2 linked regions of the Elephas maximus indicus genome follow. The protein of the gene in region 2 purifies or fractionates together with the protein of the main gene of each other region. This does not show direct contact. Links are inferred from orthologs where the notes say so. Each region holds a gene or a part of one and is shown on either strand. Other genes may lie near its edges.

Evidence for each region. The genes of interacting proteins can lie anywhere in the genome.
Region 1: the proteins of FBXW8 (region 2) and CCDC8 purify together in Homo sapiens (affinity purification with mass spectrometry; 3 studies listed by BioGRID and IntAct, with this or other methods). This does not show direct contact. The link is inferred for Elephas maximus indicus from reciprocal best matches to the Homo sapiens genes FBXW8 and CCDC8.

Annotation. Positions count from the first base shown.
Region 1 is NC_064829.1:103,275,532-103,283,252, reverse strand, and holds the start of CCDC8 (coiled-coil domain-containing protein 8), read right to left. Parts: upstream 3,011-7,721; 5' UTR 2,303-3,010; coding exon 827-2,302; 3' UTR 1-826. UniProt on the Homo sapiens protein: Core component of the 3M complex, a complex required to regulate microtubule dynamics and genome integrity. It is unclear how the 3M complex regulates microtubules, it could act by controlling the level of a microtubule stabilizer.
Region 2 is NC_064840.1:14,593,059-14,600,385, reverse strand, and holds the start of FBXW8 (F-box/WD repeat-containing protein 8), read right to left. Parts: upstream 3,014-7,327; 5' UTR 2,942-3,013; coding exon 2,624-2,941; intron 1-2,623. UniProt on the Homo sapiens protein: Substrate-recognition component of the Cul7-RING(FBXW8) ubiquitin ligase complex, which mediates the ubiquitination and subsequent proteasomal degradation of target proteins.

The sequences.
Region 1 (7,721 bases), on a different chromosome or scaffold from region 2:
CCACACGGCCAGTGAATGGCAAGTGTGCGAGCTGCCCTGGGTAAAGCCCATAAGAGCTGGATCAAAATAGATTCCTGGGCCACACTAGCAAATTCATATCTGTGGTGTGAAGGGTTCAGGAATGTGCATTTTGAACACATTCCCCAGGTGATTTGTATGCACACTTATGGCCCCCAACCTCACAGCCAAGGACAGGTTGAAGGGCATAAACCATGGGCCCTGCACCCTTCAAACCAGCAGAGCCCAGGGGACCAAAGTAACCATGGTCATTACCATTGAGGATGGGAGTGGGGGGGACAGTGAGGGCACATGACCAAATAGCCCTCGAGCATTCTTCAGTTGTCAAGTCCAAAGCCAAAATCTAAGTTTTTTTTTTTTTAATGTTTTCACTTGCAGGTCAGCTTGAGCCCTCTTTTGAAGTTCAAAGAGACAGCAAATGTCAATCACCCAGCGAAAGGGGAGAAGCCATGAATTTTGCCCCGTCTCGCTCCCCTTTTTAAAATGAGCACCTAGGGAATTAAAAGTACCTGGCTGCAACCCCGCTGTATCGATTTTTCTCATTACATTCCTTGAGTTGCTATAAGGAGTGGGTATAAAAAAATTAATACACGAGAGAGAAAATTTTAACAGAAAAAGGAAGAAGGTTGTCAGGTGGAAATATGGAGGCGTTGTCTCGCCCCCTCTCTCTCTGTCCCTTGGATTTTCAGGTGCAGAAGCAGAGAGTGAAACCATCTCAGTCCAGGTCTGGGAGGGGTAAGGACATGCCCAAGTGGCTGATAATGCAGAATGTGGCAAGGGGTGCTCCACAGGGCCCCCGCCCTCGCCCTCACAGCTGGTCTTCTTGATCTCCCTGCTCCGCTTCTGCTCTGCCCTCGGCCCTCAGCATTCTGAGGCTCCTGGCCTCGCCTGCCCTGGGGACTCTCTTGGGGAGGGTTGGCAGCCTGGGTGTGTGCCAGAAGGCTCTCCGTGACTTGCGAAACCATGAAAAACGTCCAGGGGTCTGGAACCTCACTGTCTTGACCTGTTTCCGGGCTCTGGCTCCTGGGGTTGCCCCTGGGGCCCCCTGGATATCTGGGGCCTCCGCCGCCTGGTCAGCTGCAGCCTCTGCAACCTGGTCAGCTGCAACCTCTGCCACCTGGTCAGCTGCGGCCTCTGCCCTCTGGTCAGGTGCGACCTCTGCCCTCTGGTCAGCTGCAGCCTCTGCCACCTGGTCAGCTTCAACCTCTGCCCTCTGGTCACCCAGGACCCCTGCCCCCTGGTCACCTGGGACCTCTGCCCCCTGGTCACCTGGGACCTCTGCCCCCTGGTCACCTGGGACCTCTGCCCCCTGGCCAACTGGGATCTCTACCCTCTGGTCAGCTATGGCCTCTGCCACCTGGTCAGCTGGGACCTCTGCTCTCCGGTCAACTGGGACCTCTATCCTCTGGTCACCCAGCACCTCTGCCCCCTGAGCTATGGATGCTACCTCCTCCCTCCGGCGTCGCCTCAACGAACCCCAGCTGATCTTGGGCCGCCACCGTCGTGGGAGGGTCCCGGCTTGCCGCCCATCTCCTGTGTTTCCCGCGTTCTCCCCCCGGCTGGCGCAGCCTGGCCCTGACGCCCTGTCACTCTCCATCCTGGACACGGGCTGCTGGGTATCGCCCACGCCCGGCAAAGACCTGGGCGCCCAGCTCTTCACTCTGCGCTTCAGCTTCCCCCAGGACACCTGGCTGGCATACTCGCGCCACCTGTCGGCCTTGGAGAGCTGGGGCGGGTCGTCCTCGGCCACTGGCACGGGCAGCGCCACCCGGCGGCGGGCAGGGGCCGCGCTAGGTTTCTTCTCCCCGCGCCGCAGGAAGGCCTCCACCAGCTCCTCGTCGTCCCCGCTCTCCTGGTCGCTTCCCAGGAACTTGCTGCCCAGGTAACTGACCGGCATTTTTCGAACCCTCCGGGCCCGGCCCGAGCCGTGGCCGCCCTTGTCCCTGGAGGTCTCAAAGTCGCTGAATTCGCTGTCACTGGCGTTGCTGCTGTCATACGTGCCAACGACCAGACGGGGCGGAGGCGTCACCATCTGCTGAATTCTCCTCCGCACTCGGGGCTCCTTGGGCTTTTTGAGGGGCTGGGGCGGGTGCGGGGTGCTCTTCTCGATGATGCGGGCCACATCCTCCAGGGTGCGGCCCTCTTCCTCCAGGAACTGGGTCAGCCGCTCACGAAATTCCGCCTCCTTGGTGGCGGGCTTGGAGATGACCCTCCAGACACCGCCCGCCAGCCGGACCTCCCGGGGGATGAGCAGATAGTCGACATCCTCCCCAATCTGCAGCATCCCCACCGTAGAGTCTTCCTCCCTGCGGAATACCTTGCCGATCTTCTTAAAGGTCCCCACGGGCTTCAAGGCTTCCACGAGGACATCCAAGTCCACATCCTTGCAGACGTCGGGGACGCTCCATAGGATTAGGCAGTCCGGCGACGGCAGGAAGCCCCAGGGGAACCAGCCCCCCACGTGGCTTTTCTCGAGGGTCTTTAAGATCTCCAGGGTGAAATCCGGAATGTGGGGCTAAGGACCCCAACGTCACGCAGTCTGTAGCCTTAGGTGGGGAGTCCCAACAATGCTGCCCGGAAGGTCTCACCTCCCCAGCCAGGGACGAGCCACCTCCTCCCACTTTGTCTGCCACCAGGCCGGCCTTGGCCAAGTCTGCTCCCCCCAAAAAAGGCTGGTGGAAATGAAGTCCCACGACGCTTACGTGAGCTGGCGAGGAATCTGTCCCGAGGCTTCAAGCCCGCGCAAAGCTGGAAAGCTGCTCCAAGTTGGAGTGCACGGTGGTTCGTCTTGCCCCAGGCACCAAAGGGGCGGCTGGAACTTGCGAGACCGCTTCCCAGACAAAGACGGCTCAGCCGGGGCTATTCAATATGGCCGAGGCGCTGGGAGACTGCGGCCCGGCCCCCCCGGAGGGTCTCCCGCCCCCAGGCAGGCTGCCACCCCTCCAAGACTGACCTTGACGCGGCGCGCGCCCAGTGCGGTGGAGCGCACAGGCAGGAAGTTCCTCCTCGCGCTCCCCGGGGTGAGGCCCACCTTCTCCCTTCTCAGTTTACACTCCCCGACTCGGGAAGACTGACAGGGGGGCTGTCCACTCCCTTTAAGGAGGCCTCTCTCCCCTCCCCCACAGGGGTGTGGCCGCGCCCCAGGCCTAGTTGGGGCCACCCGCCTCCAAGTGAAAAGAGCGCGGAGGCCCACGTCAGCACCTTTCCCGAATGGCAGCCAGTTCCCAAACCTGCCATCGTAGATATACCCGTTCTGGCCAAGTCCCCCACCCTCAGCCCCCTAGGTGGGTGTGCTAATGGGACAGCCCTTTTGAAGGTCACTGACGCTATGTATTAACATTTTAAATGCACGCGACTCGTGGTACCAGCAATTCCTACCCCATACCCATTCATGCATGTGGGTAAAAAAACTGGTGGTTGTCGTTTAGCTGCCCTAGAATGGGCCAGATTCGTGGCGACCTCATTCACAAATGAAATGCTCCCTGGTCTGCACCATCCCCGTGATGGACTGCAGATCAGACTGCTGTGGTCCGCAGGGTTTTCGTTGGCTGATTTTCAGAAGAAGATGGACCGGCCTTTCTTCCTAGTCCGTTGTAGTCTGAATGCTTAAACCTGATCAGCATCATAGCGACATGCAAGTCTCCACTGACAGATGGGTGGTGGTGGTATTGCTGGTTATCATTGAGTCGGTTCTGACTCATGGCAAACCCATGTGTGCAGAGTAGAACTGTGCTCCATAGGATTTTCAAGGCTGTGGCCTTTTGGAAGCAGACCTCCAGGCTTGTCTTGCCTCTGGGTGGGTTTGAACCACCAACCTTTAGGTTAACAGTCCAGCACAAACCATTTGTGCCACCCAGGGACCATTTTTCCTATATACTATTGTTGTTAGGTGCCTTTGAGTTGGTTCCGACTCATATAGACTTTATATATAACGGAATGAAACCGTGCCAGGTTCTACTCCATCCTCACAATCATTGCTGTGTTTGAGACCTACATACTATATACAGTGAAACCTATGAGAGCTGAAACTTGACGAGACTGCCTTGTTTTTCTGTTTTGTTTTTTTTTTTATCTCTGGTTTTCCTTCTCTGACAGGTTTCCACCTTACCCAGGTGCCAGCTTTTACAAGTTTTACTTTACTATATACTAGGCACCATTTTGTGGGAGAAAGATGTGGCAGTCTGCTTGCATAAAGGTTTACAGCCTGGGAAACCCTATGAGGCAGTTCTACTCTGTCCTATAGGGTCACTGTGAGTCGGAATCGACTCGATGGCAGTGGGTTTGGTTTGGTTTTTTAGATCCCACTTTAAGTGCTTTCTGTGAATTAATTCATTAGATCCTCACTGTAACAACGAGACAGGTAATACAATTATCATTCCCATTTTACAGCTAAGGAAACTGAGGCCCAAAGAAGTAAAATCACCTTTTTGAGGTTACACAAACAGGAAGTGACTGAGGCTAGATTTGAACCCAAAACAGTCTGACTCTGTGTGTGTAGAACAAATAGTCGAGACATGCACTTGTGCTAGTCACAGGTATAAAACTAAAAAACCAAACCCATTGCCATCAAGTCGATTCTGACTCATAGGGACCCTATAAGACAGTAGAACTGCCCCCATAGGGTTTCGAACGAGGGGCTGGTGAATTTGAACTGCAGACCTTTTAGTTAGCAGCCGTAGCACTTAACCACTGCACCACCAGGGAGCACAGCCTAAAGTGGCTGTTACCGGGGAGAGGGCCTGGGAGCCCCTGAGGTGGGAGAGGCATGTACCCTTCACTCGACACCCTTTAGGATTGCTTGGATTTTTGGCAACCAAGAATATTAACTAAAAGAAATGAGATAAAAGTGAAGGTTCTCAGGCTTCACCACAGACATAGTGGGTCAGGATCCCTGGGGCTTAGGGTCAGAAAAAGGCTACCGGCTCAGCAACAAAAGCCCAACAACATCATTAGGAAGATAATAACAGTTAACTTGCATTGGCATTGAGCATTTCCCTGGGTCCAGGCATCATGAATGGGCTGAATGGACCTATTGTGAATCCTTAGAGCTACACAGCAAGGTGGGTGCCCTCACTAGCATCTTCTGGTTGATGGGGAAACTAACTGGAGGGCCTGATATTTGAACCAGATCTTAGGTACTTGAGTAATAGACCCAGGCAGGCTCTATAGAAAACAGGGGTCAGGAGTCAGGACATAGCTGAATCCCTCCTCCCCAATTAAAGTGCTGGGTGGTTTAACCCAAGAGTCACCGCATGTTAAAAAAAAAAAAGCATGTTAGCTACCCTTTTTTCTTGTTGAATCCCTGCAAGTGCCTCCTCACTGCCTCCCAGCTTTCTCCTTGCTGCCTACAATCCACCCTCAATTCAGCAGTGTTGTTGTTGCTAGTCGCCAACTAGTTGATTTCAACTCATGGCTACGCCATGTGTGCAGGATAGAACTAACTGCTCCATAGGGTTTTCAAGGCTGTGACCTTTCGGAAGATCACCCAGCCTGTCCCCTGAGGGGTGACAGGGTGGTTTCAAACCGCCAACTTTTTTGGCTAGTAGTTGAGTGTTTAACTGTTTGCGCCACTCAGGGACTCTCCAGCAGCTGGTTGTTGTTAGGTGCCATGGAGTCGTTCCGAATCATAGCGACCCTACGTACAACAGAATGAAACACTGCCCAGTCCTGCACCATCCTCACAATTGTTGCTATGTTTGAGCCCGTTGTTGTAGCCACTGCATCAATCTGTCCCCTCGAGGGTCTTTGTCTTTTTCACTGACCCTCTACCAAGCATGATGTTCCTCTCCAGGGACTCGTGCCTCCTGATAACATGTCCAAAGTACGTGAGATGAAGTCTTGCCATCCTTGCTTCTAAGAAGCATTCTGGCTGTACTTCTTCCGAGACAGGTTTGTTCATTCTTCTGGCAACCAACCAACCCAACCCATTGCCGCTAAGTCGAATCCGACTCACAGTGACCCTATAGGACAGAGTAGAACTCCCCCGTAGGATTTCCAAGGAGCTCCTGGTGGATTGGAACTGCCAACCTCATGGTTAATTCTTCTGGCCAGACCCAGTGCCATGGAGTCAATTCCGACTCATAGCGACCCTATAGGACAGGGTAGAACTGCCCCATAGAGTTTCCAAGGAGCGCCTGGTGGATTCGAACTGCCGACCCTTTGGTTAGCAGCTGTAGCTCTTAAGCACTACGCCACCAGGGTTTCCTATTCTGGCAGTCCATGGTATATTCAATATTCTTCATCAACACCGTAATTGGAAGGTGTCAATTCTTTGGTCTTCCTTATGCATTGCCCAGCTTTCGCATGCGTATGAAGTGACTGAAAATACCGTGGCTTAGGTCAGGCACCTTGGTGGCATAGTGGTTAAAGTGATCAACTGCTAAGTGAAAGGCCAGCAGTTTCAAACCACCAGAGGTTCCAAGGGAGAAAGATGTGGCAGTCTGCTTCCATAGAGATTTACAGCCTTGGAAAACCTATGGGGTTGTTATGAGTCAGAATCGACTCGATGGCAGTGGGTTTGGTTTTTTGGTGGGTCAGGTGCACCTTAGAGCAATACGTGGTTTGATTTCTTGACTGCTGTTTCCATAGGCATTGATTGTGGAGCCGGGTAAAATGAAATCCTTGCCAACTTCAATATTTTCTCCATTTGTCTGCAGCTGGAGGGATCTTTCAAAAAATAACTCGGCACTGTCTCTATCTTTTTAAAATCCTCCATTTCACTCAGAATAGAACCCAAGTCCTCACCATGGCCCACAAAGCCCTACAAATCCCTCACACTCCTTCCTTCTCTGTCCTCCTCTCCTCCCCTCTTCCCCTCTCTCACTCCATTCCAGCCCAACCAGTCTGTTCCTGCTGCAGGGCCTTGGTACTTGCTGTCCCCTGACCTTCTCTTGTCAACCTCTCTCTCCTTATTCAGGCCTCTGCTCAAAGGTCACCTCTCTGAGAGGCCCTTCTGAATCCTTCCCATTTTACAGGAGTGACCCTCCCATCCCAGGAATTCTTAACCTTCTCAGTGCCACGGACCCATTGAAGCACAGACTGTTCCCTACAGTTATGAAAATATTCAAGAAATAACAAATTCATGAAATGGTGCTTGTTATTACCACATCACATAAAGATTTAGCAGCAAGTCTAGGTTTTGAGGAAGTGCTTCGAGGTTTCGCAGCAACTAAAAGAGCCACACGAAGACAGCTGTGATTTCCAGCAGTGACAAAGTTGCAGGCTCTTCTAACCCTACTGGGGCTCGTTGCTTATGTTCATAATGGAAGGCAATGGTCTGTCTCAAAGGTCTGTGAATATAAAGCCGTGATTTTATTTTTCCCATTCAGATTCACAGACCCAAGAGGTCCAGGCACTCCAAGTGAAGACCCCCTCCTACATCCTATTCTCCTACTTTATTTCCTAGCACAACACAGTCAGAAATGATTTTCTTTATTTTTGCTTTACTTTTGTGTCTGACTCTCTCCCACCACACGCTAGAATGCAAACTCATTTGTTCTCTACTGTATGTATCTCCAGTACCTAGAACAGGGCTTGGCCTGTAGCAACCCAGCTACCACTGAGTTGATTCCTGGAGACCCCGTGTGCGTCAGAGTAGAACTGTGCTCCATAGGCTTCCCAATGGCTGATTTTTCAAGAGTACATTGCCAGGCCTTTCTTCTGAGGTGTCTCTGCGTGGATTGGAGCCTCTGACACTTCAGTTA
Region 2 (7,327 bases):
CAAGCCCCCAAGATATGACAAACTGACAGATGCTTGGGAGGAAATCTTCTTAGCCATAACTAAACACCTTCAAGTACTGCATCACTGGGCTTGAGGGCTGAGACCATTGACTCGGGGGAGATCTAGCTCAACCGGCATAATCTAATCCATAAAGAAGATGTTCCATATCCTACTTTAGTAAATAATGTCTGGGGTCTTAAAAGCTTGCAAATGGCCATCTAAGATACAGCTATTGGTCTCTTCCTGTCTGGAGCAAAGAAAAGAAAATCAAAGAGTGAAGGCAACAATTAGTCCAAAGGACTAACAGACCACTTGAACCACAGCCTCCACTAGCCTGAGATCAGAAGTAGATGGTGCCTGGCTACCCCTATCAACTGCTCTGAGCAGGCTCATAATAGAAGGTCCTGGACAGAGTGGGAGAAAAATTCAAATTCATAAAAAAGACCAGACTTACTGCTCTGATAGAGACTGGTGTAACCCCCAAGACTATGGCTCTTAGACACCCTTCAAACCTGGAACACAACAAACTCCCAGAGATAGTCTTTCAGCCAAACAATAGGCCTATAAAGTAAACAATAACACCCACGAGGAATGTGCTCCTCAGAACAATCAACTATATGAGATCAAAGGGCAGCATTTGCCCAAAACCAAAGTTCAGAAGACAGAAAGGGGCAGGAAAGATGGGCAAATGGAAGCGTAGAACTCAGGGAGGAAGGGAGTAGAGTGCTGTCACGTTGACGCGATTGCAACTAATGTCATGAAACAAAATGTGTGTAAATTGTTGCATGGGAAACTAATCTGCTGTGTAAACCTTCAACCAAATCACAATAAAATGTTCAAAAAAAAAAAAAAAGAACTATCATATGACCCAGCAATTTCAGTCTTAAGACATACCCAGAAGACATGAAGGCTGGAACACAAACAGGAACCTGTACACCAACATTCTCTGCAGCATTTTTCACAATAAGCAAATTGTGAAACAACCAAAATGTCCAACATCATGGACATAAATGGAAAAACAAAATGTGGCATCTACAGATATATATAATGGAATATTACACAGCCAAAAAGAGAAATAAATGCCTGATCATGCCACAGCATGGATGAACCTTGAAAACGTGATGCTGAGTGAAATAAGTCAGCCACAAAAAGACAAATATCATATGGTCTCACTTATGTAAAACAAGCAAACATATAGACACCAAAGATTATTAATGGGAACAGGGATGAGAGGCAGGGAAAAAGACGGAGTTTTTTGTGGGGAGAACTGGGTTTATGTTAACGGTGATGAAATATTTGGAAAAAGATAGCGAAAATGGTGGCACAACATGAAAAATGCAATCAATGTCACTGAATTGTAAATTCAGTGTTATTACTTGTCATATTGACGAATGTTTTGGTGTGTATATTTTCACCAAAATTTAAAAAAAAATTATTACTGCTTTATAAGGAGGCACCCTGGTGGCGCCATGGTTAAAAGCACTCAGCTGCTAATTGAAAGGTCACCAGTTCGAACCCACCAGCCACTCTGGAGAAGAAATATGTAGCAGTCTGCCTCGGTGAAGATTTACAGCGTTGGAAAACCAATGGGGCAGCTCTACTCTGTCCTATAGGATCACTACAAATCAGAATCAACTCAACAGCAGCGGGTTTAGCTTGCTGGGGAAGCTATGCCCTTTCCCTTTGCCATCGAGTCCTCCTTTAAGCCTGGTTTAAGTTAACCTACTAAAACTTGCTGTCTTGTTCTGACTCCTAACCTGAATTCCATGCATGTGTTTCACTTGATCTTGATCCTCCCAACCTGTGCATATGGTTTTTTTCATGGAGAAGGGTCTCTAGCTTCCTCCAGATTTTCCAAGGGATCCATGTCCTTCTAAAACGTAAGAACCCTTATCCTAATGATAGCGTCCATGGGATTCTTATTTTTTTTCACTTTAATTTTTTTTAATGTATATAAAACCATAAACCAAACCCGTTGCCCTCAAGTCAATTCCAACTCACAGTGACCCTACAGCACAAACAGTATACCCAGAAAAGTTAACATTCCTTCCCATCCTTGTCTTGGTCTCCTTCCCAATGGCAACAGTTGTTAATAGTTTGGGTATTCTTCAGCACAGTTTCTCAACCTCAGGCCTACTGCATTTTGGGCCTAATCATGTTTTGTCCTGGGGAGCTGTCCTGTGCATTGTAGGATATTTAGCACCATCTCCTCCCCTGCTCCCCGCCAAACAGTTGTAACCACCACAAATGTCTCCAAACCAAACCAAAAACCCACTGCAGTCGATTCCGACTCACTGTGACCCTGTAAGACAGAGTAAAACCGCCCCATAGGGTTCCCATGAAGCGGCTGGTGGATTCGAACTGCCAACCTTTCGGTTAACAGCCGAGCTCTTAACCACTGCGCTACCCGAAGTCCAGACACTGCCAAATCTGCTGAACAAAACAGCCCCCAGTAGAGAACCACTGTTTCCAGTATACTTTATAAAAGCACAAACGTCTGTGTACTCCTCCTCATTTTGTCCTATAATTGATGACACACACAGAGTTACTTTCCAACCCATTGCGGGATTTGTCCCAGGGACGGGACCAGCCCAGGACTCGGCAGGAGGCGACGGTCACTCACCAGGTCGCGAATGAGCTGGTCCAACAGCTGGTCCCCTCCCTCGGTGTCCTCGCGGCCCTGAGGGGAGCGAGAACGACTCGCCGCGTCCTGCCTCTCAGCCTGGGTGGCCCGCGCTGCCGGGGGTCGCCCCGCGCCCTCCAGGAGGCCCTGGGCCAGTGCCAGGTACCCCGAGGCCTGCTCGCCGCGCCCGGGAACTAACTCGGGCCGCCGTGGCCGCCGCTCGGCAGTCTCGGGCCGCCGCCGCTTCTTCAGCGCCTGGGCCTGCGCCAGCTCCTCCTGCCAGCGCCGGCGGAACTCCTCCAGTCCGTGATTATCCATCGCGGGCGCTCGCGCTTCTCCGCGTCTTCCTCCGCCCAGCCAGGTGCCACGGGACAGTGCCTCCTCCGGAAGTGTCCGCTGCGGCCGGAAACTACCGCCCCTGCGACTCTCCAGTTCCGGGTGGGCGGCCCCGCCCCCTCCGTGCCCCTCCCCACCCGGAGCCCCTCTTGCAGGGCCCTGGCCCACGTGACCGCAGGGCTAGCAGCGCCCAAGACTTAGCTGGGCTGGAGCCCCAGCGACCGGCCTCCCAGCTCTTCTGTTTTCCAGTCTGTGAAAGGGGCATTTGCCAAAGGTTGGCTTTACACCAAGCCCTCCTTCTTCATTCAACAAACGTGTATTGAGCAACTACTATATGCCAGGCACTGGGGATTTAGCAATTAATTCTGAAAAATATTCTTCTCTAGGTGTTTGCATTCAAGTATGGGGAGGCATTAAACAACTAAACAAATGAATATGAACGTTTGAATCAGTCGTAGCTATTATGAAGAAAATAAAACAGGGTCATGTATACAGAAAAGAATTTTAAATTCTCATGGACTCCAGACTTTCCGGATCCACGGAGGCTGGATGAACCCCTGAAACTATAGCCCTGAGATAATCTTTAAACTTTAAATCAAAAATAACCCCTGAAGTATTAAAACCAAACAATATTTTAGCTAAATTAGTAAAGAATGTCTGCCTTGAGCATTGTTCTCTGTTAAGGGATCAAACTGATAACTGCAACTCTAAGGATTAGATAGGAACCTAAGGGGGAGGGGCGTATTATCCAGTAGACAAGTAAGCACAATATGGTAAAACCCATGCGAAATTGTTCACGACAGATGATCTGGTAAGCTTACCTTAAAAAAAAATTGGATAATCTGCCCTTGCTAAGGGTGCCGTAAGTTTATGTTAAAGGAGGAGGAACAACTCAGAAAAGAAGGGTAAGAATAGCTGCACAACTTGAAAAATGTAACCAATGTCACTAAATAGTACATGTAGAAACTTGAATTTGGTGTATGTTTTGCTATGTATATTTTTCAACAACAAAATAAATAAAACTAGAACCTATGGACTGGGAAAAATTTTTGGCCACAAATCTGACAAGGGTCTAATCTCTAACATCTATAAAATATTTCAACACTGCAACAAAAAGACAATCCAGTTAAAAAATGGGTGAAGGATGTGGACACTTCACCAAGGAAAACATTCAGGGGCTAACACAACACTTCAGGAAATGCTCAAGATCACTAGCCATCAAAGAAATACAAATCAAATTTACAGTGAGATACCATCTCACCCTGACATTACTGATACTAATTAAAAAAACAAAATATAAAAAATGTTGGAGAGGTTGCAAGGAGATTAGAACTCTTATGCATTGCTGGTGGGAATATAAAATGTTATAACCACTATGGAAACCAATATGATGCCTCCTTAAAAAGCTATAAATAGAAATACCATATGATCCAGCAATCCTACTCCTAGGAATATATCCTAGAGAAATAAGAGCCATCACACAAATACACATGTGCATACCCATGTTCATTGTAGTATTATTCACAATAGCAAAAAGTTGGAAACAACCTAAGTGCCCATCAATAGATGAATGGATAAACAAATTATGGTACCTACACACAATGGAACAGTACCCAACAATAAAGAACAATGATGAATCCTCAAAACATAACGTGATGAATCTAGAAGGCATTATGCTGAGTCAATCACAAAAGGACAAATATTGTATGAGACCACTATTATAAAAACTCAAGAAAAGGTTTATACACAGATAAAAAACGACCTTTTTGGGGGGCGGTCTCTATACATTTACATTTTCTTGTCCTTATATATAAGTGAGGTCATACAATATTTTCCTTTTGTGACTGGTTTATTTTACTCAGCATAATGTCTTCAAGTTCCATCCGTACTGTAGCGTGTATTAAGACTTTATTTCTCCTACTGGCTGAGTACCACTCAATCATATACATATACCATATTTTGTTTATTCATTCATCTGTTAATGGGCATTTAGGTTGTTTCCACCTTTTGGCTATTGTGAAGAGTAGCTGCTGACCTGCATATGTACAACCCAACACCTCATGGGATTTGGTTCCTTGGTGTGGAGGTTTAGGGTTATAGCTTCACGGGGCATCCCAGTTAACCGGTCTAATAACACATTTAGTGTTTCTGTTCTATCTCCTAGTTCATTGCATAGTGCCTGGGGTCTTAAAAGTTTGCAAGTGGCCATAAAGTGGACAATTGACCAAAAAACACTTTGATGGTTATAAGGGAGGGAGTAAGTGGAGAGGGGAAATCACTAACTAGATAGTAAACAAGTGTTAATTTTGGTGAAGGGAAAGACAACACACAATATAGGGGAAGTCAGCACAACTCGAACAAGGCAAAGCCATAAAAGCTTCTAGATACATCCAAACACCTTGAGGGACCGAGTTGCTGAGGGCTGGGGACTATGATCCTGGGGGACATTTAGGTCAATTGGCATAACATAGTTCATAAGGAAAATGCTCTACATCCTATTTTGGAGGGTAGCATCTGGTGTCTTAAAAGCTTGCCAGCGGCCTTTTAAGATACAACTATAGGTCCCATCCTGTCTAGAGCAAAGGAGAATGAAGAAAAGCAAAGACAGGAGGAAAATATTAGTCCAAAGGACTCACGGACCACATGGGCCATAGCCTCCACCAGCCTGAGCCCACAAGAACTAGATGGTGCTGTCTACCACCACCCACTGCTCTGACAGTGATCACAATAGAGAGTCCTGGACAAAGAAGGAGAAAAGTGTAGAACAAAATTCAAATTCACAGGAAAAAAAAAAAAAAAAAAGACCGGACTTACTGGTCTGACAGAGACTGGAGGAACCCCTGAGACTCTGGCCACCATATACCCTGCTAACTCAGAACTGAAGCCCCTCCTGAAGTCTACTTTCAGCCAAGGATAAGACAGGCCTATAAAACAAACAGTAATACCCATGAGGAATGTGCTTCTTGGTTCAATCAAGTATACGAGATCAAACGGGCAACACCTGCCCAAAAGCAAAGGCGAGAAGGCAGGAAGGGGCAGGAAACCTGGACGAATGGACATGGAGACCCTGGTGTGTAAAGGAAAAGGGGGAGAGTGCTGACACATTGCAGGGATCGCAACTGATGTCACAAAACAATTTGTGTATAAGTTTCTGAATGAGAAACTAATTTGCACTGTAAATTTTCACCTAAAGCCCAATAAAATTTTTAAAAACTAGTGCAGAAGCAAGACAATTGTCTTAGTTATCTAGCGCTTCTATAACAAAAATACCACAAGTGGAAGGCTTTACCAAAGAGAAATTTATTCTCTCACAGTTTAGGAGGTTAAAAGTCCGAAATCAGGGTGCCAGCTCCAGGGGAAGGCTTTCTTTCTCCGTTGGCTCTGGGGCAAGGCCCTTGTCATAAATCTTCTCCTGGTCAAGGAGCTGCTCAGCACAGGAACCCCAGGTCCAAAAGATGCACTATGCTCCCAGTGCTTCTTTCTTGGTGGTATGAGGTCCCCCATGTCTCTCTGCTCACTTCTCTCTTTTATATCTCAAAAGATATTGGCTTAAGACACAATCTTATCCTGTAGATTGAGTCCTGCCTCATCAACACAACTGCCACTAATCCCATCTCATTAACATCATAGAGATAGGATTTACAGCACAGGAAAATCGCAACAGATGACAAAATGATGACAATCAGACAAGACTGAGAATCATGGCCTAGCCAAACTGATACACGTATTTTCGGGGGACACAATTCAATCCATGCCATTCCACCCTTTGGCCCTCAAAAATTCATGTCCTTGCCACATATAAAACACATTCAGCCTGTAGCAAGTCTTAAATCAACTCCAAGTCCAACGTTCAAAAATTCCTCTTCATCTGTGAAATCTAGAATACAAGTTATCTGCTTCCAAAGCACAATGGCACACTAGGCACAAGTTAGACATTTCCATTACAAATGGGAGAAATTGGAGGGAAAGAAGGCATAACAGGCACCAAGCAAGTCAGCAGAACACATTGTATTAGCCCTCCAGGCTTGAAAATAATCCTCTGTTCTTTGAGACCATTTACACAATGGCCATGCCTTCCAGACTCTGGGTGTTGGCCACGTTCTCCAAATTCTGGGTGGAGGCCCCTGGGCCCTGGGCTTTAGCTCCAACTTTCAGACCCACTGGAATGGCAACTCTGTTCCCTTGGCTTTAAGCACATCATTCTCCTAGCCCATCTGAGTGAAGACTTCATCCTTAGAAACTCCAGAGGCCATGGCTCCACCCTTTGAGGCCCCAGGGGTCGAGGCCATACCCTTTGAGACTGAAGCAACTTAGCTTTCTGCGTGCCTTGTCTCTTCAGCTTCTGATTCCTAGTTCCTTGGCCTCTTG